4 linked regions of the Rhinolophus ferrumequinum genome follow. The protein of the gene in region 4 interacts with the protein of the main gene of each other region in a biochemical or structural test. Links are inferred from orthologs where the notes say so. Each region holds a gene or a part of one and is shown on either strand. Other genes may lie near its edges.

The links. The genes of interacting proteins can lie anywhere in the genome.
Region 1: the proteins of TJP1 (region 4) and CLDN1 form a complex in vitro, tested with the Homo sapiens proteins (2 studies listed by BioGRID and IntAct, with this or other methods). The link is inferred for Rhinolophus ferrumequinum from reciprocal best matches to the Homo sapiens genes TJP1 and CLDN1.
Region 2: the proteins of TJP1 (region 4) and CLDN2 form a complex in vitro, tested with the Homo sapiens proteins (2 studies listed by BioGRID and IntAct, with this or other methods). The link is inferred for Rhinolophus ferrumequinum from reciprocal best matches to the Homo sapiens genes TJP1 and CLDN2.
Region 3: the proteins of TJP1 (region 4) and CGN form a complex in vitro, tested with the Homo sapiens proteins (2 studies listed by BioGRID and IntAct, with this or other methods). The link is inferred for Rhinolophus ferrumequinum from reciprocal best matches to the Homo sapiens genes TJP1 and CGN.

What each region holds. Positions count from the first base shown.
Region 1 is NC_046285.1:55,914,418-55,921,936, reverse strand, and holds the start of CLDN1 (claudin-1), read right to left. Parts: upstream 3,168-7,519; 5' UTR 2,946-3,167; coding exon 2,723-2,945; intron 1-2,722.
Region 2 is NC_046284.1:47,705,445-47,713,317, reverse strand, and holds the start of CLDN2 (claudin-2), read left to right. Parts: upstream 1-4,706; 5' UTR 4,707-4,842; intron 4,843-7,873. UniProt on the Homo sapiens protein: Forms paracellular channels: polymerizes in tight junction strands with cation- and water-selective channels through the strands, conveying epithelial permeability in a process known as paracellular tight junction permeability.
Region 3 is NC_046305.1:51,461,270-51,468,786, forward strand, and holds the start of CGN (cingulin), read left to right. Parts: upstream 1-4,350; 5' UTR 4,351-4,455; intron 4,456-7,517. UniProt on the Homo sapiens protein: Probably plays a role in the formation and regulation of the tight junction (TJ) paracellular permeability barrier.
Region 4 is NC_046311.1:13,163,356-13,171,573, reverse strand, and holds the start of TJP1 (tight junction protein ZO-1), read right to left. Parts: upstream 3,150-8,218; 5' UTR 3,111-3,149; coding exon 2,938-3,110; intron 1-2,937. UniProt on the Homo sapiens protein: TJP1, TJP2, and TJP3 are closely related scaffolding proteins that link tight junction (TJ) transmembrane proteins such as claudins, junctional adhesion molecules, and occludin to the actin cytoskeleton.

The DNA of each region.
Region 1 (7,519 bases), on a different chromosome or scaffold from region 4:
CTCTCCTTTGTATATTCCAGCTTTCAGCCGCAGTAGTCATCAATGTCAATAAACATCACATACTTTGGATGGAATTGAAATTGTCTCAGCCACAGTAAAACCACAATGCACAGTGCGACATTTGTTTCTCCAGGAACTTTCTGTTACATTTTCATAAACTGCTTCGCAAGAAGTACCTAAAAAAACCCCTGCTGTATCTCATTTCCTATGTTGGTTCAAGCACACCGTATCCCTTTAGGTACTTATGGAATTATGCTTTTCACAGCTGACACTATTTAGAGCAGGGGAACAAGGGCTCTTAACATGTCTAGCGCTAAAACCTTGATAAATCCCTGTGTCTCGACCCTAAGGTGCCAAGTGGGTTCCACTGGCAAAGAGAATAAGGTTCAATTTCAGGAAACTTCTCACCAAGCTTTTCACCTAAAAGCACTTCGAGGAACGCAACCTTTTACAAGGAACACGACTTAAATATACAGATAATCCTGTGCACCTCTAGAGGTCACGGAGCTATACCAAATCAGCCAGTGAATCACCACCCCAGGTCTCTCCCTCAGGTGGGTGTGAGCACCACTAGCCAGGTGGAAAAACAGAGACAGGTTCTATGGCCCCATCCAAAGGCATCCAGTGAGTCACTGGCAGGTTGGGGAGAGTACTTGTGAGTCAAGGCTCCTTCTTCTGGGAATCAGTTCTGTGAGGAGGCCTCAGCCCCACCTTGAGTAATCTCTGGGTTTAACCGAAAAGAAAAGCATCTGATCTGGAGTTTAAAAAATATATATTCATCAGGCAGAAATCTCAAAAATGTGTACGGGGAGAAGAGGAGGATATCGTTTAAGTCTCCCACCGCAACTTCGAAGACTACAACAGCTATATTAACTAGGAACAAATGAAAATAAAACACTTGAACACATTATCATATGTAGAGGTGACCTGAGTATTTACAACATGATGCAATCTGATTCCATGCGTCAACTAAGGAAGTTAAAAGGACACATATTTAAACATGTTGAAAATGAACTATTTTGATCAGAAGAATCAGAGAGCTCTCTAGAATTGCCCTTAGAACCTTGTCCATCTGCCAGTTCCTCGAAATGACACCCAAAATGCCTAAAACCATTTCTTTATATGTATTAATCTCCATTGAGATTAATACATATATGAATTCAATCTCCATTGAATCTCTGTGGAGATTCAATGATTACATAAAGGAGAATACCTAATACACTCCTTATATTTGGTGTAAAGGAATCCTAATATGCGGATTTTGAACAGCGAAAACGACAGTACTCAAAACTACCACGCACATTGACTGACCAAATTCCACAGGTGGTCAAGGGGTTTAAGCAGATTCAGAACAGATTTAATAACCCTAAAGTATATGGCTTTTGACAAACCACATGTGGGAGGTGAACAAAGCATGTGAAATAAACTGGAGAGATGACAACACTGTTCACCCTCAGCCCATAAAGGGCCCGGTGGGCTGGCTTGTTTGTCTAGGCAAAGACTAAGGAATCTTCTCTTAAGTTAGTTCAAGGGCATAACAGACACATGCTGCATGACAACCAGTGTAATATCTCCAGGAAGATACTCCAGCCATGAATTGTTATTACCTATGAAAGTGGGAATTTAAGAAGTTTCTGATAAGGCACTCAAAAGCTTTTATTTAAAAACATGTTAAAAAGGGGGGAAAAATCCATCCTGTCATTCTTTTCCCCACTATCTTTAGGAATATTGCTGTCTACATAATCCTTTCTAACTTGAAAGAAGCAAACATCCCTTATGTAGAAAATCCTTTGTGGGAGGTGGAAACTTGGGGAAGACCCACCCTCTCTCTCTCACTAACTTCCTCCCCAGAGCTGACCTCTGCTTTCATTAGCTGTGTCTACTTTGTGGCATTTTTCTTACCTCTTTTTTTCCCTTCACACTATGATGGGAGGTTATGTAGAACTTTTTCTTTTCTTGTCCCTTTTTGCCACCTACTACCAACCTTCACTTTCCAAAATAACACTAAACAATCTGCCTCCTCTGAAGACCCCTGGCTTGAAAAGTAAAACCTTCAGAGGACATCTCAAGAGGCTTCTTCAAGGAGTCATGCAAGGGGTGCAAAGGGGACTCCCCAAACTTGCTGCGTCTTAAAAATCAGAAGATTCAAACTTAAATGTAAGTAGATGCCAATGTAGGAATGCGACTTTTTCTTTGAAAAGTCATAGTAAAGATAGCCTGGGGGAGGGGAGGAGAAAAGCTTATCTAATACTTTGAGATTATCTATTTAATTTTACAAACTTAAGAAGCTATCAGGCTCCAAACGTTTCAAGGCATACTATTTTCTTGTCCAAACACTACCATTCTTCAACTTACACAGAATCAGACTGAGAATGTCCAAGAGAGGCCTAAGAACTCAAGTTTGAATTTGACCTTCACCTCTGGATCTCCACCCTGCTCTCATCAAAATTTAAGATGAAACCACACCAAGAAGGGAGAAAAAGTGTTACCCGGGGAATTAGAGGCAAAACTAGAGCTTTGTTCTGGGCTTCCCTTTTCCCAAACCAAGGTTCTCTCCGTTTCCTCAAGACAAAGCACATGATCTGAAGACTTGATCGGCTGAATACTGATAACCATGTAATCACAGAACGGAATTGGAGGCTGGATGCCACTACCCCAAAACGGAACCACTGGGGGATTGGGATCTCCAGGTCACAGCTGTAGAGGTGGGGAATGCACTCACTGTTTAGATTCAGCAAGGAGTCGAAGACTTTGCACTGGATTTGCCCTGTGCTCTGTGACACGCAGGACATCCACAGCCCCTCGTAGATGGACTGGGCCGTCACGATGTTGTCGCCCGCATAGGAGTGAGTCTTCCATTGGGGCATCGCCGTACTGATGATGGCTCCCATCCAGCCCAGGAAGGCCAGGATGAAGCCCAGCAGTTGCAGCCCCGCGTTGGCCATAGCTCACTCGGGCGCCTGGGCTCGCTCAGTGGTGGCAGGTGCAACGCGCGGAGATTGCGGGGGCGCACCCGGGGCTCCTGGGGGTGGCGGAGCCGCGTGGAGGAAGTTGTTGCTGGGAGCTTTGCTCCTTGCGCCGCCGCTGGAGAGGATCTAGATCGGGGTCCGGATTGGCGCTGGAGTCCGAGTGCGAGAAGCTGCCGCTGCTCCCAAGCTCTGTGACTGAAACGCCAACCTGCAGGGCGCCGCAATTTAAAGCAGCTCCGCCCCTCGCCCGGGCCGGCCGCCGCGCAGCACCCCCTGGCGGTTTCAGGGCGGCTCGCGGGGGGAGCGGGAGGGAGCGCTCCGGCCCTTGTTGGCCCCCGCGCCCTTGGCCGGGAGGTCCCAGCGCGAGGTGGGGGCCACCTGAGAAGGATCAGGTACTAAAGTGTTCCGGCGCTCGCTCCCTCTCGTGTCTCCCTTCGCTCTTGTTTCCTCTAGTGTGCCTTCTCAGATGTTCCATTCATTCGATCTTTATTTCCCCCCAATGTACTATTATGTGTAAACATTAACAATGCATGAAGATGAAAAAGGGAACCCTCCAGGGACCCACAGTTGCACGGTCCACTTTTTCTCACTATGTTCTTAACAGGCATTTCCTATCTGTCTCCACCACCTCCTCCCTCCCTTCACACACAATTCTCTCTCTGTTGTTCAGCTTCGTCCCTGTTCTCCTTTCCTTCTCCCCTTCAAGGTCTCTTCTAGAATCCGGTATTTCTGCAAGGGTGGTAAGAAATCAGTATACTTTACAGATTAGGAAACTGAGACCCAAAAAGGAAATATGATTTCCGTAAGATCACACAGCAAGCGAGTAGCACACCCAGTACAATGTTCCCAGCCCGCTCTTCTTTCTACTACATTTCGACTTAACCGAAATATATGTCCTTTAAGCAATTATCATCGCTACGAAAATGCAACCTCCCCTCCCCCCAGCCCTCCCCCGCCACACGCACCCCAGCCTCTTCCCCTCAGTACTTTGTGTTACAGCAGCGATTCATTATCAGAGGGAGGAGGACAGTGCGTCCCCCAACCCTCAATGGGTGTTTCATTAATGAATTACCAGATGCTAGTCATCAAAGGCAAGGGTATCTAAAACGCCTGAACCCAGGAGAAAGAGGACTGGGCCAGGATTGGGGAAGTCCTGGTTCTGCCTCTGGGTTTTGCCGTGACTGGCTATGGCCACACCCTCAGGTCTTTATCTAGTCGAGCCTTTTGTTTCACTCTATGGGTCTCTAAAGCTTCCTTCTCTGTAGTTAAATGGCGCTGTGGTTTGCAATAATTAAAATGTTTTCCCAACTGCTTTTTGTGTGTGGTGGGAGGAGAAGCTTCTATGGTTTTGGTCAAAACAGAAGCACCTCAGAGGCAGAAATAAACACGGTAAGGAGAAAAAAGATCTGCCCCAGTATTCACTAGGGGAGCTGCCGGTTTGTGTCAAGGAGGGAACAGTAAACAAGTTCTCAGAGTATGAATGAGAAGAATGAAAAAACTCTACCCCTTGGGGGATGTTGATAATGAGGGTGGCGATGCATATGTGGGGGGCAGAGAATCTATATGGGGATCTCTGTATCTGCTGCTCAGTTTTGTTCATCTAAAACTTTCCTTTAAAAAGTCTATTAAAAAAGGGAAAACAAAGCAAAAACCCCAAACCCCTCACTTCCACCCAACTCTTCAGATACCTTTTGAAGGTCTACATCCGAAGGACAAATCTCTGCAGAAAAATTTGGGGACTAGCAATGAAGAGGGTAACACACAAGCTGGATGGAGAGCTTTAGTTGGGAGTAAGCAAGTTTGAAACAAGTCGGTGATGTCCTGAAAGCCTCCCTAGGCCCCAGGAAGGCCCTAAGTCAGCTCTGTAGGGCAGAGTGAGTCCCACATCAGGGTGAGTCCCCTGAGTCTGGGCCTGCAGTCAGCAATTCCTTTTAGGGCCTGATGGATGTTCTGTGGGCACCTGTGAGTGTGGATGACGAGGTATCAATCATATTTGCTTTATGTATTCCCCAGGGTCACTTAGCTCAGAGGAGTTTCCCAGAATTTGCTGTAGGTCTAGTTCATTACCATGTCAATCACATAATCTTATCTGTTTTGTTCCAGTCAATTCAGAATTAAAACTATTAAATTTTTTTTTCTTAGTTGCTCAGATTGGATCCATGAGGATGAGATTTGAGTTCAATTAATGTACTTGTGCACAAGCCTTTTTCATCTACATTAGGACCTGCTTCTATCAACCTACAGTTGGGGGAAATTGGGAGGGATGAATCCTGTGGTCAGTATGGCCCCGTGTTTTTGTTGTTTTTTTTCTTTCCAGGTCTCTGTGAGGCTGATGACTTCATTGCCCACAGCCGTGTTTATGAGGTTGCGGTGGGTACTGTTTACTCTGCTGTGATCCCATCTCTGGCATCCCTAATCCTGTCTAGTTCTCTGTGTTTTCCTAGGAGCAGATAGGTGAGATAATGGCCCAGCATAAATCCATCAAGGAAATCCATCCTCTCCATGAAGAGGAAAAACAACTTATGTACAGACATCTGGCCTTTCATATATGAAGCATGAATAATAGGGGCAGCACTGGGACCAAGAAGTTTCTAGAAAGGCTGACTATGAGGTGGCAAATGTCCTGGCCTGTTGAGTAGGAAAATCTGCTATGTACTCTCAGACAAATTGCTTCCTTTCTCTTTCTCAGTTTCCTTATCAATAAAAATTAGGAATCAGCTTCTAAAAGCTCACCCCAGCCTAAAGCTTTAGGATGCAAGGTAATAATAGCCGATCCTTGTGGGTAACATACTGTCATCACAGTGTTGAGCTAAGAGTTTTCTAGGCACCATCCTGTATGTGAAGGTGACAGAGACACAGAGAGGTCAAATCACTTACCCAGGATCATATTTGGTAATTGGCAGCCCTGGGATTCCAAACTATACACTTTGACCCTGGTGCTCAGACCTATAAGCATTGCTCTATAGTAGTTCCCTGTGTGAACCAAATCAATGGAGGACCATTGGCTTTCAGGGCTTACACATCGTGATCATGTGTTTCTCCCTCCAGGAAGTGGTAAGATGTTCCGCTCTGTGACTGCCCTACTGCTTCTTCCTGTCTCTTCTCAATTTCTGCTGCTGCCCACTAAGATTCTACACCCAGAGGATCCGGAATCGTGTCGGGGAGTGTTCTTTTGAGAGGGAAGTATAGGTGAGAACAGCACCATAGCCCACTGATTTACCCCGTGTACATATGTGACCGGTGCTTGGGCTCAGCCATGATCGTGAGAACCAGGAGAAAGTGGAAGAGATACATAGAGAGATGAAAGTGCAGGTGAGACTCGAGTTGAGAGAAGAGAGTGTAGACAAAGAGACACAATCCCAAGAGCCAGCATGACAGATTCTCAGAAATGGTTGAAGATGAGAGTAAGAAAGCCTTTGGGATATGAATTTTTCACTCAGTGACTGTGCATGTTAACACTGACTTTTCAGGGCTTCCCAGGTGGTAAAAGCAGAATGGATGGACGCATTTTTTAAGTAAACCATGGGCTATATGATTATATAGGGCTTGAGAGAGGGATCAGAGCACAGATGTGAAATTTTAACATGGATTTCAGTATTAGAATGTGAAGGTTACTAACACTAAAAACCATTGGTGCATGCCCCTGCTTTGAATCTCTTTGGAGTTTTTTGAATCTCTTTGGAGTTTTTGAGGGGGTAATAAGGAGTAAGTGGTTAAAAGCACTAACTTTTTGAACCCCAGGAGTATTACTTCCTAGTAGAATAACCTTGGAAAATTTGTACAGCATACTTGTACCCTAGATGTTTCCTCTTTCAAGGGAGTAAAACTCTACTTCATAGTGTTATGATCATTAAGCCCGTTGAATGAACATCACTTAGAATAGTAGTTGGTACGTAGCAAGCACATGAAATGGTAATTATTATTTTATCAAGCAGAACAGATGCATTTAATTTGCTAACCCCACCATTTACAAATGATCCTCGCATATGTTCAAAAGCACTCTTTTTCTTGACTTGATTCTATTAGAATTCCATTTAATGCCATAGTTAAATCACAGTGACAGGATATGCAGTGTTTAGAAGGCAGATACAATTCTGTATTCAGAAATCGAAAAGGCAGAAATCGAAAAGAGAGTGAGGGGGGTTTTACTGAGATTTGTGGGCCCCTTCTCCAGGCCCTGGACAGCTTTCCCCTCTGAGTCCTGTGTATTAGCCACAGTGAAGGCTAAAGGCCAAGAGGCCCTTTCTGAGATGGGGTGGACCAAGAGCAGAGGGAAGATGGAGAATATAGTATCGAAGATCCTCTCAGCATATCAGGGAGGCTCTTCAGTTAAAAAGTTTTCCGAAGCCTCTGCCTTGTTATCAGGTGGGCATAAAGTCTTTTTTAGACCCTCCTGTCAGCTCCTAGCCTAGCAGATCTATTCCTCCCTTGCTTTCTGAAGAAAAAGAGTAGAATTTCAGCCATAAAGTCTACTTTTTAAGTATAAAAATCCACTTTGAAACAAGTTGGTGAAGAACTGTTCCCTTACTTTATCCTTTTGTGTTCTGTTT
Region 2 (7,873 bases), on a different chromosome or scaffold from region 4:
AGGTGTAGTACCGAAGAAGAATATCCACAATGTATTAGTTTTCTATTGCTGCCATAAGACATTACCACAAACTTAACAACTTTAACACAATACCCATTTATTATTTTACAGTTCTGTAGATCAGAAGTCCAGGTGGGTTCACCTGAGTTCACTGCTGAGGGTCTCACAAGGCTGAAGTCAAGTTGTTGGCTGAACTGGGATCTTATCCGAGCTCACTCAGAATGTTAAAAAAAAAAAGAAAAAAAAAAAGTCCAGATTCTGCAAGTGGTAGGCCTGAGCTCCCCGTTGCCTTGCTGGCTGTCATCCAAACGCCACTCTGTGCTCCTAGAGGCTGCCCACATCCCTTCTCATGTGGCCCCTTCCCTTTTTGATTCATCAATGACAAGTCAAGTACTTCTCAGACTTCGGATCTCTCTGACTTCCTTTTCTGCCACTAGACAGAGAAAGCACTCAGCTTTGTAGACTCACATGGGTACATTAGGTCCACCTGGGTAATTTTTCTTTGTCAATTAAGTAACATAATCATGGGGGTACCCCGATAAACATCATAAACACCCACTCTCAAAGGAGAAATTTATTGTACACAGGTGAGGGTCATTTGGGGTCATTCTTAGAATTCTGCCAAAACAGCTATTAAATAACCCCTTCTTCAACAACATTTCTTTGTGAGGCTGGATTTTCTTCATATACTTTAACCAAAACAACATATGGTAACAGATTGAATGCAAGAGCAGATATGAGAATTTGGCTGCCTTTTATTCAGCCAGATATCCAGAGATTGGCAAAAATGCAATACAATGCCACTTTTCTTGATAATTTTTTGTTTGTTTTGGAAAAGGTATTTTTTTTCATAATTATGTTATTTATTTTAACATGCAATGTGTTTTTCATTGTGATTTAAATTTAAAAAATAGTTTTTAATTTATCAGTTTTCATTTCTAGTATGGTAAATGTCAATAGACATAACCCATAAAAATGAAAGCCCTTCAGAATCTTTAATCATTTTTGATGAATACCTTTTATTTATTTATTTTTAAATATACATACATGTCATTTTAATATTGTGTGATGAAATGTGGAAAAGCACATAAAATTCATTCTTTTGGATGTACAGTTCCATGAATTTTGACAAATAGTAGAGTTATGCACCAAACATGACAGTCTCAACACCCAAAATAATTCACTGTGCCAAACCACTGTAGTTAACTCCTTCTACCATCCCCAACCCCTGGCAACCACTCGTCTGTTCTCCATCCCTATAGTTTTGGCATTTCAAGGATGTCATGTAATTGGAATCACACAGTAGACAGCCTTTTAAATCTGGCTTCTTTCACTCTGCATAATACATTTGAGCTTCATCTATGTAGTCATCTGCATCAATAGTCCATTCCTCTTCATTGCTGAGTAGTGTTCCATTGGGCAGATGTGCTATATTTTATCCATTCACTAGTTGAAGGACATTGGCCTGTTTCCTAAATAACTTTTAAAAGTGTAAATTGGTCCTGATACCACAAATTTTGAGAGATGATGGTAATGGAGGTATCATGTTTACATGGGAAATTATTAGATGGATGAAAGAGCTTTATTTTGGAGGTAGGATTGTAAAGATTTACACATCAAATGAGATGGGGAGTGGAGGGCCAAAGAAAGAGAAAGGAGTGAAATTAAGTCTAACTCTGAGGTTTCTGGTTTAAACAACTGGTTTTTGCAAATGAAGAAGACTGAAGAAGGATTGGTCTTAGTTGCAAAGGAATCAACGATATAATTTTGGACATGTTGAGTCTGAGATGCTTTTGATTTATCCAAATGGAGATGTCAGTATATAAGGGCAGTGAATTTCAGAGCAGTCTGGGCTGAAAATGACAATTTGGAAGTCATCAGAATATACAGGGTAATTGAAACCATGAGAGATAAATGAGACTTCCGAGAGTGGGGATGCAGAGTAAGAAGGGAAGAAGACCTAGGTCGGGCTCCTGAGAAACACCTATACTTAAGGATCTGGCTGAGGAGGAGTCGGCAAATGAAAAAATATCCAGAGAGATAGGAGGACCATGAGGGGAGAGTGGTATCACAGAGGTCAAGAGAAGAAAACATTTCAAGAAGGGCAAAGTTATCGAGGGCATTGAACACTGCAACAGAGAGAGGTCAAGGAAGTTAAGGACTGAAAAGCAGCCACTGGATTTTGTGTCATGGGTGTCATTTGTGACTTTGACGAGAACTTCTTGGTGGCGATGGAATACTCATACCTCTAATCCTCTCTCTGCCCTAGACCCTAACTCCTTCTCCCATAGCCCTCTCACCCCTGCTCCTTTGCCCCTAGAATCTCTTTTATTTCTCTTTCTAAACTCTTTTCATAGTACCATCTCCTCCCTCTCCCTCAAGATCTTGCTTTATTTAGACTTCTCTTAGATTTTCTTCCTCAAAGGCCTCTCCTGCTCTCTTCCCTAACCCATCTCTTCCCAGACCCTCATTTTCCTCCCTTTATTCTCTCACTGCTCACTCCTCTCCTTAACCAGATATTGCTTTTCTCAGACTGCTGTCCTTTCCTCCCTTCTTTCAGACCCCTCTCCATTCCCCCACCTATCCAGGCTCTCTGGATGTTGGCAAGGGTCTCAGCAGTTTACTAAGGAGCTTCCCAGGTTCAACACTGAGGAGTCATAGTCTTTGGCATGATTCCACCAGGATCTGACAGTGCCAACCTGTAGGAAACACCGTGTTAGAACCTAGTCTTTGAGTGACTGCCAGTCTGGTAACCACATCCTGCCAACGAAGTACCCTCATCCGTCCTGGCACCTGCTCCTAAGATTCTGCCTTTTCCTATTCTAAATTGCAGAGTCACTGTGAGCTGATAATTCTATTTTGCACTCAGCCAGCATTTTTTACTTGTGAAAATGTTGTCATATTCATTAGCCCAGCTGTGGGAAGTCAGCTGGATGAAGCCCGGAGACAGAAGATGTGAAGAATTGCCCCAGTTCGCACAGCTGGTTAGAGGGTTAGCCTGCTATGCTTCCCACTCCTTCAATCTTGCTTGTTTTCATGCCTAAAGAATCCCCAAGTCTGAACTCAGACATGGCTTCCCTTTTAGCTTGTCCCAGCTTGCCAAGTGTAAGCACCCTGGGAGCACTGTCAGGGGTCAGTACCCAATTCTCACCTGAAAAACAGTTATGGGCCACGTTGGAAAGGACAATGATTTTTTATTTGCTTCATTGAATTCACATTAGGCAACGTTCTGCCTGTTTGCTTTGATATTACTTCAAAAATGGAGTAGAGCATAATGATTAAGAACCAAGCTTCAGAGATGGCCAGGTTTGGTGCCTAGGCCTGGCTCTGAAGCATCTCAGTGAGACAATGTATAGAAAACCCTCAGCACACTGCCTGGCACCTAGAAAGTGTCCAATGAATAGTGGCCACTAGTCTTATCATTTTTACATAGGAATCCTTGGGAGGGAGTCAGCAAGGTACACTGGAAAGTTTATTCAACCCGACATCTGAAGACCTAGATTCCAGGTCTCACTATTACTGCCCAGCTGGGGATGCTGAGTAACTCACTTATTTCATTTCACTGGGCCTAGGCTTTCTCATCTGGAAATAGTAATAGCTGCCCTACTTTTCTAATATGTTGTTTTAGCCTTTAAAGTATGCATACTCTTTGCCCCTGCTATTCTATTCCTAGGAATTATCCATATTGTGTGTAAAGATTCTAAGTTATAATGATGAAAAAAATGGAAATAACAAAAATGTCTATTAGTTATTGGTTTAATAGATTATATTTCTATATAATAGAATACAGTGCAGTCATAAGAGATGATCCAGATTCATTTTTTTAATTGACATGGAAATATGCAGGATATAATGTGATTCAATTTTGTAAAAATATTTCTACTCATGTCTCTACAGTACATCAAAATATTAACAATGATTAACATTACACCTCTTGCTGGTAGTATTATCAAGACCTCTATTTTCTTCTTATTTTCTGAATTCTTTGCAATAGCATCTAGTTTTTTTTTTTTTTTTTTTTTTTTTTTTTTTTTTTTTTTTTAATCAGTAAAAAAGGAAAGCTTTTTTTTTTTCCACTTGGAGAGGAAACCCAGTCTCTGTACTCTACTCCACAGACCTCGTGGGAGACTGAAATGACACAGGTATCCCTGTGTGTGGTACAAAGGGGAGGCCTATGGTTACTATGGACATCGCAGTCCGACCTTGTAGGGACCTGCTCTTTGAACCCAACAGAGTCTGAACCTGTAATTCACATTTGCCCTTGTACCTTGGGGTCAGCCTTAAGAGTGGGATAGGGCTGGGGGCTTTGCTGGAGAACAAACATGGGTGGAACAGTCTGCCCGGCTGTAGGCAGTGCAGGGCTGCTTGGGCACCAGCTCACTGGGCTGTGTTTATGAGGCTTACTTCCTGCTGGGCTGGAAGGCTGCTAGCCAGGAACACCTCATGGGCATAAGAGACCTCCCTCCTCTCCCTATTCCCAAAGCTGAAATGTTCCGAATTCCTCCTCGGGCCAAACTGCTCTCCCCCAAGTCCTCTCCTGGGCTCACAGAGGTCACCACACAAAAGCCCAGCTGGAGTTTTTGACAGGAAAAACACAAACTTTGCCAAACTTTTTTTAAGTACCTCAATCTTCCACAGTCTCCAGGGGTTTAATTCTGATCTGTAATAAGTCTCTGACTTGAGGCTGAGATTTGCAGATGGATTTTGCAAAGCTGCTGCAAACAATTAGAAATCCTTTATCACCTCAGCCTGGAATATTAGCACCTTGCACCTTGTTCCCCTCCCTCAGTATCTTCTCCAGGGCCATACGTCTCCTCCAAGGCTCTCCAAAGGAACTGCTTTGTAAGTGTCTCAATTCTGATTTATTTGCTGCCTTTTAAACTCACTTAGGTGGGCTCTTGCTTCCTAGTTGCTGTCAATTTGGCCCACGGTCCAGCCAGGCTGGGCCACCTTGGGGTTCTGAGGGAAGGACACTGGAGGCAAAATTCAGGTAGGTCGGTAGTATTTGTTTCTTCAAGGCTACCACAAAGTTTCTAGTCTTTGAAACTACAGGACCAGAGGAAGCATTCTCCAAATCAGATCACAATCTCTGAATGGAGCTTTTGAGGGCAAAAGGACTGAGATAAAAAGGATGGGAGGAAAGGAACTACAGTTTACTCCTCTAACTAAGGGGCCTAAGGATGATCAGAAGGGGTGTTTCCTCACAGCCAGCTCCAGTGCCTTCCTTAGCATGAAGGCTCAGGGAGTCAGCAGAAGGAGGATTTTGTTTTCAATTCATTTTTTATTTATTAGTTTCATGTCTACAAAACACTGTAATAGTTAGACATTCATCATTTATACCCCTCACAATGTGATAACCCCCCATCCCCCAGTCTACTACCCCTCTGACATCGCACACAGCCGTTACATTGCCACTGTCTTTATTCCTTATGCTGTACTCCGCTTCTTGTGAATATATATATATATATATATATATATATATATATATATATATACACTTATAAAATTGTAGCTGACATTCATTATTGTTCAGCTTCAGCTTCAGGTGTACAGTGCAGTGATCAGGCATCTAACTCTTCCCTGAAGTGGTCTCCCTAATGAGACAAGTGTCCATCAGATACCCTACCAAATCTTTACAACATTATTGAGTACCTTCCCCAAATTGACTTTCGTATCCCCGTGGCCATCTTGTGGTTACCGATTGTGCTTTCTAATTCCCTCACCTTCCCCCTTGTCAAAACCCCACCTACCATCTAAGAAGGAGGATTTTTGAGTGAAGTCAGGAAGTCTCCCCTTCAAGCCCTTAAATAACTCCTCCACTAGTCTGCATGTCTGTCATTAGAAATTCCCCTTTTAAGGAAATCCTGCCATTTTTAACAATTTGGATGAACCTTGAGGGCATTATGCCAAGTGAAATGAGTCAGACAGAAAAAGACAAATACTATATAATCTCACTTATATGTGGAATATGAAACAAATCTGAGCTCATAGATACAGAGAACAGATTGTTGGTTGCCAGCTGCAGGGGTGGGGTGGGGATGGGTTGATGAAACGGGTGAAGGGGGTCAAAAGGTACAAACTTCCAGTTACAAGATAAATAAATCCTGGGGATGTAATATACAGCATGGTGACTTTAGTTAATAATACTGTATTGTATATTTGAAAGTCGCCAAGATAGTAGATCTTAAAAGTTCTCATCACAAGAAAAAAGGAAAAACTTGTGATTATATGGTGATGGATGTTAACTAGACTTATTATTGTGATCATTTCACAATATATACATATGTCAAATCATTGTGTTGTACACCTAAAACTAATGCAATGTTATATGCCAATTATATATCAATAAAAACAAAAGAAATTCCTTCTTTGGACTGAGACATTATTCTCTTGAAGTGTCCTCTTTGAAACAGAGTTGGAACCAAAACATTAACAGCATTTTAGTTGGGGAGATTGTAGGTAATGTCTGTTTTCTAAAGGCTGCCTTTCTGCATTTTCTAGCTTTCTAAAATGAGAGTGATTTACTTTGATGTTCAGGACAAAAATAAACTTCTTTTTAAAAGCAATTAGAAAAATCTCTCAATCCAGTTGCAGTTCCCCAAGCTGTTATCAATCAACTGATGCGAAGGAAAGGTGAACTGCTCCAAGGACAAACTTTCCAGAAAGTGGGGCTTCAAAGGAATGGCTTTGCCACTTACTGGAACCCTCAGAGGCTGGGTCTCAGACTCCTGTGAGGGGCTGGAAGGTCAACACATGGAGAAATGAAGCTGACTGGCAGAAGAGAGCTGTGGTGGCCCCCATCACCCCCAGGACACCACATGAGGTCCTTCCTTGAGTGTGTGAACCCCACCTGTCTTGCCCCACTCAGTCTTATGAGGGTGCTCCCAAAGAAGGGGTCTGTGCACAAGACTCTCAAACCAAAAAATCAGGGGGACTAGCAGGGCAAGAAGGGGTTAATTCAGAAGCTCCTGTCAGTCTTTATCCCCCTAATCGTCTCCTGCAGTTCTAATCTCCCCTCTAAGGAAGATTAGTTAAGGATCCTAAATGAAGCTTTCTTGCCCAGCTCTTGGACCATGGAGTGTGTTGGTCCCATGCCCAGAAGACAAATTCAACTGGCAAGACCTAGAGTTCTCTGTTCCTCCAGAGCAGCCAGGGCTTGACTTCTAGGAGGATCCCTCAAAGAGATGAATTTCTTTCAGAGCTGCCTGCTTCTAATAATAGCTGTTGCATCTTATATATTTATCAGAGTGGCTCCTGTCCCCATTACCTTATTTGAGACTCAAAACCTTAGAGATGAGCAAACTAGGGCTTGGAGAAGTTAGGGAACTTCCTCAACATGTTCCAGGCAGAACTGAGACACACAGATTTTGATGTGACGTTGACACTACCCTTTAGGTCACCAATATGCTTTGAATACAGTTAACCATTTGTTAAGGACTTACTATTGGCCACGACCACACTGAGAGGCTGGTATCATCTCCATTTTACAGATGAGAAAACTAAAGTGTAAAGAATGGAAGTGACTCTCCCAAGGCCACACAGCTAGAAAGTACAGAAGCAAAATCAAATTCTTTTCTGACTCCAAAGTCCAGGTTCTTTTCCCACTACACCATACTGTCTATCTTGAAAACAATTAGCCTTGGTTTCTTCCTTTTGATAAGAATATGCTAAAGCTATCAAATATATGGTGATGGAAAGAGTGGGTGGTGTCTCTGGGTAGTGAACACACAAAGTGATATATAGATGAAGTGTTACAGAATTGTACACCTGAAATCTATGTAACTTTACTAACAATTGTCACCCCAATAAACTTTAATTAAAAAAAAAAAAAGAATATGTTAAAGCCAGCCCACACTAATAGGAATTTCCAAGG
Region 3 (7,517 bases), on a different chromosome or scaffold from region 4:
TTATGGAATTCAGGATCATCTTCTTAATTTCTCAGAGGAAACTGAATTCCAAGGATATTAGGAGACTTGGTTAGAATTGTATCGGTCTCTTGACTCCTGACTCAGTGCTCTCAATCAGTGTTGTCCACTCGTAGAATCTCTGTGGCTCCACCTCCCTAGTCAAACTGAGGAAAAGAATAAGGGTCAGAAAGAACGAAATATCTTTTGGGCACTCTTGGAGATCCTGAACCCAGGATCGAGTGCGTATAGCAAGTGAACATATGAAGTATTTCAGGTGAGTCATCAAGTGACCACTTCTTATCTTCTCTAACAACACGCATAACAGAAATTTTAGTCAACCAGGAAAAGCCCCAAGCGATAGTATAATTATATATTATTATTTCTGTTGAAGAGCAAAGTGTTTGTAAACAAAGCTTGAGAAAGAAATGATGAGTAATTTACTAGAAGGACATGGCGGGGAGTGGTCCCTTTCTTTTCCCTCCCTTTGCCCCACTCTGTGTGGCGCTCACTACCTCACTTTGTCACTGCATGGGTTATACTGACCTAGGTTAACCTTCGGAAGCACTGCCACCTTCTTGCTCAAAAACCTTCGATGGCTCTCCATTATCTACCCAAAAAGCCCCCAGTCTGATGTTCAAGGCCTTGCATAATCGATCCCAGATGCTACCTTTCTGTCTCATTTCCCACTACTCCCCTGTCTGTTTGCCCAACCTCTGGGAGCGCCTTCCAGTCCCCACAACAAACATGACACTTTCCTACCCCATGACATGTGGGCAAAAGAACCTTTTGCACGTTTCCTTGCCTTTATTCTTCCTTTGCTTTCAACTACTCGTTTCCTTTCAAGGCCCAGATTGGATACCACCCTAATTCTAGTTGAAAAGGAGACTTTCTGGGAGCTTTTCATTCGTGCCACTCATTTGGCACCTATCACATCCTTTGTTAGGTTTACAGATGATTCCAACAGTTCCAAAACTTGTCTCCGATGTCTCCAGCCCTCAGAAGCACTCCTTTCTTTGGCAGGTTCAGGAGTCCTACGACCTCAAGTTGTCTGACTCAACTTCCGCAACTCTCGTAACTCCTTCATGCCCGGTCTCCCAATTTAAGTTCTAGAACACAGATTTTACCTTTCCCTGTAGGTCCAGGCTTTGGCTGTTCTCTCTCTCCCTTTTATTATTATTATTATTATTATTAATTTTTAAAATGTATTTTTCAATTATCGTTGACATAAAATATTATATTAATTTCAGGTGACCCTTTCATTTCTTGACTCTCGGTCACTCTTCGGGGTTAGTCTCAAAATATAACCAACTCTCTCCATCCTAAAAGCAAAACAAAACAAACATAAAACTTCCTCTTTCTTCCACCCTGTTTTTCTTAAGTCAAGGTACCCTTTCTCCTCCTCTTTTCCTGATATACTTGTTATCGCAGTCTGAGCAGAGGGTCTGCAGCACAGCTGAACTGACATCTGGAAGATCAACTTTTAAGTGCCTGTCGTGCGGGGCAGCCTGCGGGGTCTCTGGTCCCGCTCCCCACATAAGAATGCAGGATATGGTGAGGCCAAAAAGGAACACCCAGGGAGCCATAGATGGGGGAGTCATACAACTATATTCTCACTGGCGGCATCCACCTCTCTGCAATCCGCGCTTGCTAGCTCAGCCACCATCCTCTTGTTAGCCTCCATTTTTCTGCTAGCATAGCCACAGCAGTTATATCAGTGGCCAATAGGTCACTGGTTACAGCTGATGGCCAACTAGCCACAGCTGATGGCCATGCCATCACAGTTGATGGCCATTTACTACCTGAGCCAGCACCTTTCCACGTGAGGCTGAGAGCCTGGAAACTGCACTCCTGGTTCTGTCCCCACAGTGCCCAAGTCCAGTCTCTTTTCCTATTGGAACATCTCTTTTCCACGGTCTTTCCCACCTATGCCCCTGAATGCTCCATCACTTCCCCCGACCCCCATCTGTTCCATATTTCTCAAGGTTTTTTCTTCGGTCCACTTTGCAAACTTTCACATCTATGAGGAGAATACTTAGATTCGTCTCAACCCCTAAATTCTCTTCTAAACTTCATTTCTTAGACTGTGTGTGTGTCCTGCCTACTTCTCCAAGATAGCAAATTCCAAAGTTGGTTTATTATACGCTTCCTTTCCTGGGTCCTCTCCAAACCCTTCTGTCTCCTGTCCTTTCAGTCTCAGCCAACGACATCACCACCTTTCGGTCATCTATCTTTAATGACTCTTCCTGTGTAGCCTTCCCTGCTGCTCCATGTAGGAACTGGTCCCAGCTTAACAGGTGATCTTTGAGATAAGTTTCAGTAGAGTTGTCAGTGGACCTCGTGATAGTCTTGGAGAACGCAGGAAAGACGTGAGGAAAGAATTTAAAACAGAAATTGGGCTCCAAATTCACTTCTTTGATGAAATCTCCAGTTAGCCTAGACCTTTCTCCATTCCATTATTTCCCAAAAGTAAAATTACCCTCTTGAATTTATATCCATGTTATTCGTTTCTTCTTTCTGGATATGCTATTTGCTCTAATTTTGTACCATTGCCATATTTATAAACTGGCCGATTTTTGCCAAATTGTAGCATTTCTTAAGGACGGGGACCACGCACTCTGGGGAAAGACCGTGGTGTCACCTTTGCCACCTGTGCCTGATGGTGTCCTTCTGAATGAGGCTGTTTCCTTGAGGAACAGATGACAGGACCGTGATGGCAGAGGCCTCCTGGATTTTCTTTGTTGTCTATGTTCAGCGTGCTGGGGTGGGGTGTCTCCTGCACCACCCTTACTCTGCATTTACTACAAATGCGCTAAGTATCCTAATTATTAAGGTGTTACCCAGGAGAGTTGAGGCGTTTCCACTTTTCCAATATCTGGGTCAACTCAACAATCTCACATTTCCAAAAAAAAAAAAAAAAAAAAAAAACCTCTTAAGAAACCCCACCCCCGCGGTCTGGAGGTAACACAGTGCTGGAGGCCTACCCATCTTCCGATCCCCACCCCCACACCTTTTGTTGCAGTTCCTCCCCAGGACATTGGCTGGTTTGAGGACTCTAACCCTGACATTAGTGCTTCCCTTGGAATGCAGAGACTTTGCATCGGAGCCAAGAAGCTAGTAGGCGGACTTTACCCTCCAGGACCCACACCTAGCCACTGAAGGCTGGGGGGGAGGGTAAGGAAATAGCTCCCGCGAACGAACCCGACTGTCAGCTGCATTTAAGATTCCTCTTCAACCCTGAATAGGTCCACAGTAAATATCTGTTGAATAAATAATTGAGAACAACATCCAGGGCCCGGCGACATAAGCTAAATCAATCTGCTTTTCCCCCTGTCTCAACGGTTACGATCTAGGGAGCCAGCTTTAACAGCCGTGCTGTTGAACCACAGCTAGAGTAGGAGCCTCATGTTTGCTGAGCCCCGGCCTGATCTTACTCTTCTGGAGACTGGGATCGATTTCCCCACTTTTTAGAAAGTGCGTTTACAATTTGGGCTTGAGTCCCCTTCCGTTCAGAATGAGGCTCACTCCTATTCGATGTCAAACCACATCCCCCTTCAGCATAAACTTCATCCCATTCATTCATTCATTCTACACCTACTAAGCGCCCAGGACGTGCCAGTCCCTGTTTTAGGCGTTTGCTATAGATCAAGGAACAAAACCGGAGAGATCCTTGCCCTGGCGGAGCTTACGGTAGGACGAGAGACAAACGATGAATATGATTTTTTAAGATTAAATTACGTAATTTGGAAGGTGATTACTACGGTGAAAAGGGTACCAGGCTAGAAAATGATTTGTGGAGGCCAGGGGATGGGGAAGAGAATCCTAAATTGGGATTCTGGCTCAGGTTGGGCGAAAAGGAGACGAACTGAGGTGGAGGAGGCTCTGACATCGGGAGACAGATGTTTTCTGCAGAAGTGACGGGAGAGTAATCCGCTGTATGCGGAGGTAGGTGAGGGCTGAAAGGGCTCTGGACAGAGATTCGGGTTGAGAACACCGGAGGTGGCGGAGGGGGGGGGCGGGCTATTTTCCAGCTGAGGCCAGAGGATGCTCTGGCGGGCGGCTCCCGGGGCCGGGGAGGGGGGGCGTCTCGCGTGGCCCCCAAAATGGCCTCCTGCTGCCCCTCGCCGCCCCGCCCAGGCGCTCCATCGCCCGCCGGCCCACGTGACCCGGCCTGCACCTCCCGCCCACCCCGGCTGGCGACCCCGGGTCCCTGTCCCCGCGGTGGCGGCCCCGCCCCTCGCGGGAAACGGACCAACCAGAAGAAGGCTAAGGCGGGGCGGGTGGTGACGGCCAATGGGGGTGGAGCTCCAGAGGGGAGTAACAGGTTGGTGGGAGGGGGAGAAAGAAGGAGGGAGTGCGGAGGGACGGAGGGGGAGGGCCTGGGAGCCGCGCATGCAGCTCTGCCAGAGCCGGAGCCCGAACCCGAACCCGAGCTCGGGAGCGCCGAGCCCGGCTGGGGTGAGTGAACCGAACCGGGGCAAGGACACCTGAGAGGCAAGCGGGCCCTCAGGTGTAACCCCTGAGGGGCGGGGGTCGAGGCGATCCGAGATACCTCCCTCCAGGGCACAGGTGCTGCATCAGGGAGAAGACGAGAGGTGAAGGTAGGGCGGGAGTACTGATTAAGAGCTGACTCTCACTCCTAGGTGCCAGGTGACGGGCACCTGAGACTAAGGCTATTCCCAGGGCATGAAAGCGGGTCAGGGCCAGGATCTCTCTTGGGGTCAGAGGCCGGTCCCAGGGGCAGAATTTCTCTAGGAGACTGGGGTGCTGGGGGGAAGGAGTTCGTCTCAGTTGGTCGAAGGGAACTGCTGCCAGGTTCAGAGGCATAAGGGGGAGGGCGTGGAGAGCTGTTGTTCCTTGAGGTTCTGCCCCCTGACTGCCAGTCTAGCTGGTGCTGACAACCTCCCTCCTGGCTTTGAGATGGATCTGAGGTGTGGAATCTTTCTCTAACCATTCACCTACAGGTGACGACAGTTGCAAATAAGAGACGCTGAGGGGCCGAACAAGAGGGTAGGGCAGTCTCTTTGCTCGGTGTGAAACTGTTTAAGGCTTGCATGCCAGGGAAAATGTTTCCTTCTTCCTCTTGAAACAGTACTCTCCCAGGGAGAGATATGAGGAAGCAAAGATCCCTAGGCCTACAAAATATCTAGAACTGTGTCTTTCTAATGAAGCCTCTTTCTGGGGGCTCGTGTCAAACCCTCCCCCCCAAACACACCGTACTTTCTTCTGTGGTTCGAGATGGAGCCATTGGGTGAGGTTTGGGAGCCTAACCAATTTCCTTGAAGCCTCTTCGAAGATCCCCATTATTCCCTAAAACGCCACCAGGCATCCCTGACTCCGGGACCATGACAGACAGGCAGTGGACACAAGTGGTGCAGGACATAGGCAGGACTCCTCAGGAGACCACAAAACTAGAGGAGTTACCACCTCCAAGTCTCCAGCTAGATGGGAGGTGCACACTGGGGCCCCGACAAGACTTGTGACAGAGATTCCCTTGCCCTAGGCAGGTAAGGGAACCAGAGCCAGCCTTAGCTCAGCCCCTTTGATGCCCTGCCTGAGGAAAGTGGTTGTAATTGGGAAATAATTAGTAACCGCTATGTTGTAGACAGGCTGCCTGCAGGTGCTTTTGCACCTCTTCTTTCATCCTGGATATTTGGGAGTGGGGGGCTGGCGCTAGGGGACTGCTAAGCCAGAGATTTGCCTGACCCTAAGAGGATTCTGGCTTCCTAGAACCCTTCCTGCCTTCTCCAGGCTGAACTGCATGCCTTCACCTCTGTGGGAGGTCAGGAGGGAGGTAGGGCTGCTTCTCTATGAGTGGGGAAGGGGAAAACAGGGGAAAACGAAGGACCAGGGAGGTGGCCAAAGTTAGTGTGGGATCAGGAATGCATCTTTGGGAGGGAGGGGCAGAGGGAGACCAAGGCTTCCTGTCACACACGGCCTGTCACTCATTGTTTTTGTGCATCTTCTCCCGCCGGCTCCCTCTCTGTCTTGTGCCTCCTCCTTCAGAGCCTTGGCTTTGGCTTCTAGGCTGGACAGAGGCCCTGCCCATGGTTTTGCCCCTCTGCCTCCTCTGGTGTGGAATTTCTCGTGTCTGCTTTGCAAGCAGCCAGTGGAGTCTCCCTGGCCCTCCCCTTGCCTCTCAAACCAGTCCAGCCAGTTTGCTGGGGCCCAGTTCCTGATTGTGTTTTCTTCCGCCACTGGCCAGGCAGCTCTAGCCTGGCTCTCAGGTTTCGGCTTTTTCAGTGGACCGAGCCAGCACTCCACTTGGGGGGTTCTTTCTGGATCCATGGGGGACCTTCTTATCTCTGTAATTCTATTGAGAAAATAGGAGCCAAATGATCAAGGTCGCTGAGCTGTCCTTTTCTATTTTGACCATGTGCTTTTCTTGTTACCTCTGAGGGGAGTCTCATCTCGACCTCCAGTTCTCCCATTTTCTAAATCTGCCAGGTGCGTAGCATCTAGCATATTGCCCGGCCCTGTGTATGTGTATCAGTTCTTCCTCCACACACCGAAACCACCCCACCCCCACTTCCTGCCAGGAGTCCAGGGACCCTGTCACTCCTAGTTGGAAGCCAGACGCTATGGCTGGGCCAGAGGTGATGGAATTGGGGCAGGGCAGGCTAATGAGTAACTCAGGGAGAAGTGGCTGGTACAGGTGCAGTGTCCTCCCCCAGCTTGTAGGCAGGACTGGCAGAGGCCGACAGATGAAGCTGAATTCACTTGTGGCCTGGGCTCTTCCCGTTGTCCCGTTGGTGAGGAGCGGCTTGGGCACATGCCAGGGGAGGGAAAAGCAGGGTCAGACATCTGGTGAGAGCGAAGGCTCTGGACTCCATGTTGCCTGGCGCTGGATCACTGTTTACCTGCCTCTGGGCCTTAGGCAAGACCTTGGAGCTGCCTGCTTCCTGGCCCCGCCCCGCCGTTCTCTGTAACTGAAGGCGGATGGGTTTCGGGTTTTCCATGTTGAATCATTTAGAGCCCTGCTTTCTGACCCACCCCAAAGATTCCTTCAGTCCTCCCGGCCCCTGACCCACATGTCCTGGGACTGGAGGTGGTGGAGGTTAGGGAGTCACTGGGACCTGGGGGTGCATTCCTGGCTGCCCCTGACCAGCTTGGTGCTCTTGGGGGAGCAGGAGGCCGGGCACTGTGCGGAGCGGAGCCTGGGAACGTCGTGACCTGGATCTGGGAGAGCAGTAGACGTACTGACAGGGGAGAGCTGCAGCATGAATAAATCATGTGACTTTGGAGAGCTGGCAGTCTAGGCACATCTGGTTCCAAAATTATGACTGACTAGGGCAGGGAGTCCAGGCCAGGAGAAGGTCTCGTTACTGGGGCAAATGAGAAAGGACTCTGAGGGATCCGCTGGCAAATCTTCTGTGTGATTCTGCCCTGGTCTAGGATCCAACCTTTAACAAATATTGATCTACTATGTGCCAGGCCCTGGGGACACAGGAGTCAGCTGAGAGCCACCATCTTTGCTTATAATCCAGTGGGGGAGACAGACCGGAAACAAATCATCACTC
Region 4 (8,218 bases):
AATGCTCCAGCATTCAAAATTTCTTGGAGAAGACACAAGAGGCTTCCTGCAGGCCCCACAGACGTGGGTCTGGCGGGGGTGGGGAGATGGGTGTTTGCTTCAGTTTCCCCCAAAACTGGTCTGCAGCAGAGGTAACAGGCTTAGTACCAGGCTCTTAACCAGCACTGATTCAGAACCTGACACTGCAAATGCTCCAGCATTCAAAATTTCTTGGAGAAGACACAAGAGGCTTCCTGCAGGCCCCACAGACGTGGGTCTGGCGGGGGTGGGGAGATGGGTGTTTGCTTCAGTTTCCCCCAAAACTGGTCTGCAACAGAATACTCCTTAAAGGATTTGTGGAGCCATTCAGAAAGACAGAAAGATTTCGCACAAAAGGAAGCTGATGAGCAGAAGTGGCCAAACTGGACGGAAGTGTGGGGTCAAAGCATTGCTTCGTTCAACCCCACCTGGACTCACTGGCGTAAGATTTGCAAGCGTGCAGTATTTACACACAGACTGTGACCATTTAGAGAAAGAAGCACAGAGCGCGTACACCTTTTCATCACCGTTATCATAACCATCTTCATATACGCCACAGCCAATTATCATCACACGCCCTCACATCTTGTCAACGGGCATAAGCTGGTGCGTTCCAAAGTGTGACAGGCATTGCCTGGTGCCCATCCGTCACCCTGGAGTCAGAACCCCTATCTTTCTATCTTTTCGCCATTCAACAGTGCCTTCCATCTCAAATGCCCCCACGTGCAGTTGGCTACGACACTGGCGAAATGAAATGTTATCCAGAAAAACAATTCCAGAGGACGTAAGACATAGATCATTCCGCTCCATGTCGCGGCAGCACGGTACTCTCCAGCTAAAAACAAACGACTGGACATCTCTGTTTAAAAGTCCCGCCCACACCAGAGTTTTTGTAGAGGACGCTCTTCCCTTTGCCACTGTGGAAACCAGATTCACATTTGCAAACAGAATGGATATTCTGAAATGCTCCTTTAAAATGGTGGGAAAGTTCAACCAACTGCTCAGGCCCTTCCCAGGCTGTCTCTTCTTAGGAAGATGAATTTTTAACCCTGGCCCCAGTTCACCGTCTGCCTCAGATGTGAATCTCTAGAGTGCAAAAGTTACCTGGATTGTATTTCCCGGTGTTCTCTCTTCACAAACTCTGTATTGGGGAATGCCTTTTGAGAAGCAGCATGCTGATGATGAAAAAGAATAAAACCTAGTAACTGACGGACTTTGTGATCAATTCCTGCATATACCTGAAGGCTCCTCAAAAGTAAGTCCCACATCTTAGTTTGTAAATTTGACATCAAGAAAACGGATTTCCTTATCTTTCTTTCCCAGTTAGGTATCATTAAGAATTCATGTACTCAACATAGCTGCTGAGAACTATTCCGTAGCAGGTAGTGCAGGGGACTGAGTAATGAATTAAATACACAAAAGCCCTGCCCCCATACAACTTACATTCTAGTGTGGGGAGAGGTGATATATATGAAAATTAAGTCCGATATGTAGTATTAGATATTGATAAGTGCTCTGGAGAAAAGCAGGCTGGGGGTACTACTGTTAGTGCTGACTTTTTTTTCCCTATCCACCGTCAATCTGAAAAGTCATCTTCAAATGTCACTACTTCTGGCTTCACAATGATGACATATTCTTCATATATTTGCTAACATCTTCTTCCATGGACATTTCTTAATTCAGTTACTGCCAACTTTTACCAGTCTAGTCTTCGATGTGGTCACTTGCTGTCCATCAAATTATATTGCCTTTTGCAGAATAAATGTCTTTGTTTAAACAAATGGGGAGGCAGGGAGGAGGACTCTGGTAGTCACTAAGCACCCATTACTCAGCCAGGCACCGGGGCATGCACTTTGTATCCACTCTCTCCGTTCATCTGTGACCCCAGGAGGCAGATAAATAGCACTGTGCTCATTTTACAGAGGAAGAAACAGATACTCCCGTTCACTTGCTTAAGGTCACACAGTAAGTGCCAAGTTGAAATTGGAACTTCGCAGCCCATATTCTTTTGGTCTTACCTCCAAAATTCTCCACTGTTGGGATTCTTTTTTCCTTTAACTCCTCTTTTTCTTGACTGCTCAATCTTGATAGTCCTTGGATAATTCTTTCATTTTTGTCTTATACAGCAGAAATTACTTTTCTCAAACGCCTAAAAGCAGCCTCACTGCCTTCTCCATCACCTTAAAATTAAATTAGACTACCGTTCAATTGAATTGAATGAAACCTCTACGAACTACATTGGCCCTCAATTTTAAAATGGAAACGATCGTTGAATATCAAGATTCCTGGCCTCCTTTTCCCATGGTCACCATCGCTTTACCTGACTATTCCTTTTGTGATAGAACCTTACACCTAAGTCTCCAGTCGAGGGAAGCCTGGGAAGCCACTGGGATTCCATATGACACACTTAGATGCTAATAATATGCAATACAATTGGGCAGAAAATCAACTGTGTGAACCAGCTCTGGGTAAGTCCTGGACATTTTCCTTTAAGGGCATCCTTTTCCCGTTCCCCCAGTAACAGTTTCCAGGGCGGGGGACCCGGAGCCCATGCAGGTGAAATACAGTCCCGATGCCATTGTAACGTCGTAACGCGCCCCTCGCCGTGGGCGCGGCCCGTCCTTCACTGTGCACCCGCGGCAGGAGGGGCCTGGGGGACAACGGGAAACGCGCACGGTGCTCAGAAATGGCTCGCCGTCCCCGCGAAAGCCCGGGGCGGGCGCCCGGCTCCCCGCGGCCCCTCCCTCCCTCCATCCCTCCAGGGAGCGCGCAGCTCGCTCGCTCTGCGTGTCCCCGGGCACAGCCGGGGGTCGCGGCGACGCTCGGCCCCGGGCCCCGACATGGCTGCGGCGCCCCGCGATCTCCGCGCCCGGCGCCCCGGCCCGGCCCCCGGCGCGCCCGCGCCCGCCGCTCCCTCACCACAGCTTCCGCTTGAGCGGCAGGAGGCTGCCGCGGTTGGAGGGGGTGACGCCGATGGCCATCTGCAGCACCGTCAGGTATTTCTGGTACTTCATCTTGTCCCCGCTCCGCTCGCGGGCAGGGCCCCGCCGCCGCCGCCGCCGCCGCAGGCACAGCCTCTCCAAGCGCCGCATAGATCAGCTCTGGGCCATGCGCTCCCGCCGCCGCCGCCGTGCGTGGCCCGGGCTCCCGCTCCCGCCGCCGCCGCCGTGCGTGCCGGCCGCTCCCGCCGCCGCCGCCGCCGTGCGTGGCCCGCCGCTCCCGCCGCCCGCACCGCCCCCTCCATCCCCGCCAGCCGCGGCCCCCGCGGGGCGCACCCGGCGGGCGGCGCAGCCGCCCGACTTTCCCGGCGCCCAATCCCGCGGCGGGCAGGCCGGGCCGCTCCGCCCACCCACCCCCTCGCGCCGCCCGGCCCCGCCGACCTCAGTTTCCTCCCCGGTGACGGGAGCGCATTGACGGGATCCGCTTATACCAGGATCGCAACCACAGGTTTCCAGAGCAGAAAAAAATAATTTTTTACATTTATAATTACCACTGAATGGTTCCTAACCATCATTTGTTTTCTAGCCTAATGTGTTTGGAGATGATGTGTATATAAAATGCATTCTGGTGTGCACACATAATATATAATGTGTGTATATGCGTGTATACATTCATACACATATACACACATGCATACACATATACACATACACACATACACATACACACATATACACATACACATATACACATACGTATACATATACACATATATACCCACATGTATACACACATACACATGTATGTACACACATATATACACGTGTGTGTACATATCTATGATATATAGAGTGCCAAAAAATGTGTACACAATTTAAGAAAGGAAAACTTATTAAAATTGTAATGCTCAATATATACCGATAACAAAAGATGAATACAAGGCACGTTTGACTTCTGCAATGACAAGAGGTGCTCAAAGTGGTTCCCATCAGCGTCCAGACACTTCGGATGATGGTGAACTACCACTTAAGCAACGTTGCCAAAGTGTCCCCTTATATACATTTTTTGGCACCCCTGGTATATATATATCATATATATGTGTGTGTGTATATATATACATATATATAAATATATATGTGTGTGTGTGTGATGCAGTCCTCATTTGCACAGTAGTTTGGGACTGTGGAAATGACCACGAACCATGCAAATAATCAATGGGGAAAAATAAGATTGTTCCGTGACCTTCAAAAAATTTTGTCAAAACATTCCAAACTTTCTTCATTGATGGTTATAAATGTATAGGGAAATGAAAAACATTGTAAAACTAATCACTGAATACAATGTAATTTAAAACATTGAGAATTCAAGTGTTTCATTTCTTTGTAAGGAAAACTTGTCAAGAGTAACTGGAACAGTGTGTGTTTTCTCCTGGTAGAATTGTTACATCTCCAGATAGCATCCTTTCTGTGCCTTGGCAAAGCAAAGTTTGGATCACTGTCAACATTTAACCCCTGCTCTTTCACTATTGTGAATTGTGATGTCTTCTGGGACTCCCTCATCATTTTTGTCACAACCACTTTCCTCACTCAAGTTCACATTCAGTCAGTTCCTCTGACTGCATGTCCACTCTCTGGAAACGTCATGGTAATGTCAACGTTCCCAGTTGCCAATTTTTTTAATAACTCCAATTACATTTCATTCCAATTTCACTGCATTTCCATCTTTATCATTTTTTGTTTGTTTGTTTCTTTGCTGCACTTTCCACCTTTGGTGGCCAGTTTCCTCTTTTAGTTACCTATATAAAAATACAGTGTTTTGTGGGTTTATCCCAGAGAGAGAAAGAGGCAGCACAACTGCACACTTTGCTATCAGTGCCTAAACTAAATAACAGATGCTCAGAGACGAATCACGGACCGGCTTTGAAAGAACTGCTGTGATTGGCCACTGGTCATGATGTGCATGTTATTTATGTAGTGATTTATGGACTAAAGAGCTAGCAGCATGTTCGTACTATATGCATTTGTACTGTATGCATTTACTTACAGGTAATGCCATGATAACTGCAATTTAAATCACATTGTTGGGCAACAGTTATTATTTAACTAAACCATGGTAGCGTACCATCAGGCCTATCTGAACCTGTAAAGCAAAGCCTAATTTTTTATACAGTATCTCCCTTATCTATGGGGGATGTGTTTCAAGACCCCCAGTGGATGCCTGAAATCCCAGATAGTACCAAATCCTATATATACGGGTTTTTTTCTCTACATACCTACCTATGATAAGGTTTAATTTATAAAATTAGGCAATTCCACGGATAGAAGATTCGTTCTTACTATAGATCTTAGCAACCTCAGACTGAAAAGGAGAAATCAGGAAGGCCTGTGTCTTGAGTTGAGATGCTAAGCTTTCTTCTCCCACCCACTTCCAGAATGCTGGCAACCCCAGGCAAGACATTTATATGTCCTCCCTGTGGACCATCAACATTTTTGGTTAACTCCACATATTTATTTATTGTGACTATTTAAACATTGTTTGATACTGACACTAGTGTTGTACCACGATTACACTTTCTCCTACAACTTTTTCTTTTACCTGGAGTTAATTGCCTTATTTTTCAACTTGTTTAATTTTATTAATATCCATGGCTAAGTGTCCTTATGTCTGCAACAATAATGTGAAATGCCTTGCAATATAGTTTCCCATGGACTCAGACTACACACGATCCATCAGTTTCCATTTTTTCCTGGACCCGCCCTCCAGGAGCCCTCCATCCTGCTGCCTCTATTCTAGGCTCACGTTGTCTGAGTATTCTCATTTCTCTCCTATGTTGGGGCCCCTGTATTCTGGACCGCCTAGCTTCTTTCTTGGCTTACTTCCTTGTTTTGATGGATAATCTTTTCTAATAATAAGAATACATGAGACCTAGAGATTATAAGACCTTGCATATCTGAAAAGTCATGATTTTGCCATCATCTTGATTTATTGCTTCTTGAGTATGGAAGTCTAGGTTGCAACTCATTTGACTCAATTTCTAGGTCACTGCTCCTTTGTCTTCTAGTTTCCAAGGTTGCCAATGAGAAACCCAGTGCCCTCTGTGTCCTGAGAGCATTGTTTGCTTGTTGGCGTCCCCCACTCTGGAAGCTTTCAGATCTTCTATTCATCGCCACTGTTCTAACGTCTCACGATGACAAATTGTTATGAAAATGGGAATGTCATGTAGTAGAAGGACGCAGAGGTTCTGGGGAGCCGTGCACGTACCCTTTTCACTTCCTGCATTGGTGGATTTGATGAGAGGCAGGGCCATGAATTCTGGCTCTTGTCAGTTCCAATGTTACATTGTTCAGCTCCCACTGACTGGAAGTAACAGCTGTCATGTTGCTTTAATAGTTTCCTTCCACTAACCTGAGATGAGGAATTTCTTCGCTGGGAAGGCTCTTTGGCAAAACTGATGACATTCTTCAGTTTTGGCCTTTAGTGGTTCTTACATTTGGCTGAATTATGTAAAAAATAGAAAGAAGGAATTATCAGTTATAATTTTCTCCCTCTCAAGGAAACGTACTATTTTCTTCTCTTCTATAGATTGTGATCACTTGTTTTCAAGTTTGCTTAGTTTAAAACCTGCACACCTGACCTTCTTCAGGAAGCTCTCCTAAGACGACGTCTTGTCACCCCGTCCTCTGATCCTTTTCAATTTTTATCTTGCATTACTATTGTAGGTGGTAGACAGTGGCTTGTCTGATCCAGTTTCTTACATACAGTAGCTACTTAGTAAATGTTTGCCTTATGAGTGAACCGATCTTCGATTTATTATGTAATAAACATCCAGAATTTTAGGATGTGTCAATGAGAAATGATGTTGGTGCCGTATCAAGAGCCTGTTATAATGGCTTAATGAAACGATATTTTTTTCCTCTCATGTAGGAAAAAAAGGCGTTCGTCTGCCAGTCTGGGGTTGGTAAGGTGGTTCCACAAAGTCATGAGAGGTCCAGGCACTTTTTAATTTCCGCTCTGCATTCTTTAGCATGTTGTTTCCATCATCAGGGTCACAGCATGGCTGCCAGAGCTCTAGCCAGCTTGTCCACATTTTAGGAAAATAGAAAGGGCAAGACCAAGGGGCCAACAGGCTCCTCTCTCATCCAAGTCAGCCCCCTTTAAAGAGTCTCAGGAAACACCAACCAGAGTTCTACTTAAAGTCACTGACGACCCGCTTCACTGCAAGGAGGCTGGTAAGACAAATTTTTTTTTTTTAGCTTAGCACACTGTGTCTCTGGACAAAAGTTGAGTTCTGTTACTAAGGAAAAAAGGAGAGAAGATATTGGGTAAGCAGCCTGCAATCTTTGCCATAAAGAGTCCTAATCATCCATTAGTAAGTATGATCTTTTTTTTTTTTTTTTTACAAGCGCTAATTGTTTCTTCGAGATTTTAAAATGTCTCTTCAAAGTCTACAGGTAAATGATTGAAATTGGTCCAGACTCCGGTGTTCACATCCAGGGTTTTACTGTAATACAATCGACTCGCTCCTCTCCCGCACCAAATGAAGCTCATTTGTTTTTCCTGTATCTCTAAGTAGGTATGACACCATCTGGTACTTTCTACTGTTGACCCAGAGCCACAGCTGGTACCATCTGACTAATCAGGAAGTGGGAAGGGACAGCGTCAGAAATGAGTGAGTGGTACAAATCGCTTGGTAATTAGAAACCCCTTGGTGATAACATTTGCTCCCTGCACAAGAAAATATCCATTGCAGGACATTGACAAAAATCTTGTCAAAAATCTTGTCTCATCATCAGGAATTAGAATCTCAGAGTGTGAGTCTAATTGTCGGAATGGTGCTATGGCTGATACGAAGTATTAAGTTTCAAAAAGACAACCAGAGAGGCGGTGGAAGAAACATGCATTGTGGGCTCACTCTTAGCCTACCCTGTCATATATGTTAAATTCCTCCTAAAAATAACTTGGGTGACTCTTCAAAGTCTACAGGTGAGTTATGGAAATGGATCCAGAGGTACAAGTGACTAAAGATAATAATTGATTTATTTACTCACCCGTTCTATCCATTCAATAATTACTGAATACATATTATTAGGTTGGTGCAAAAGTAATTGTGGTTTAAAAGGTTAAAAATAATTGTAAAAGCCGCAATTACTTTTGCACCAGCCTAATATTAATAGTTACCAAGCATTGTGTTAGCTGCTAGAGCTTTAAATGAGAATTGTTTTCAAATGCAGACATTTCAGAGGTAAAGATATCTTGGTGG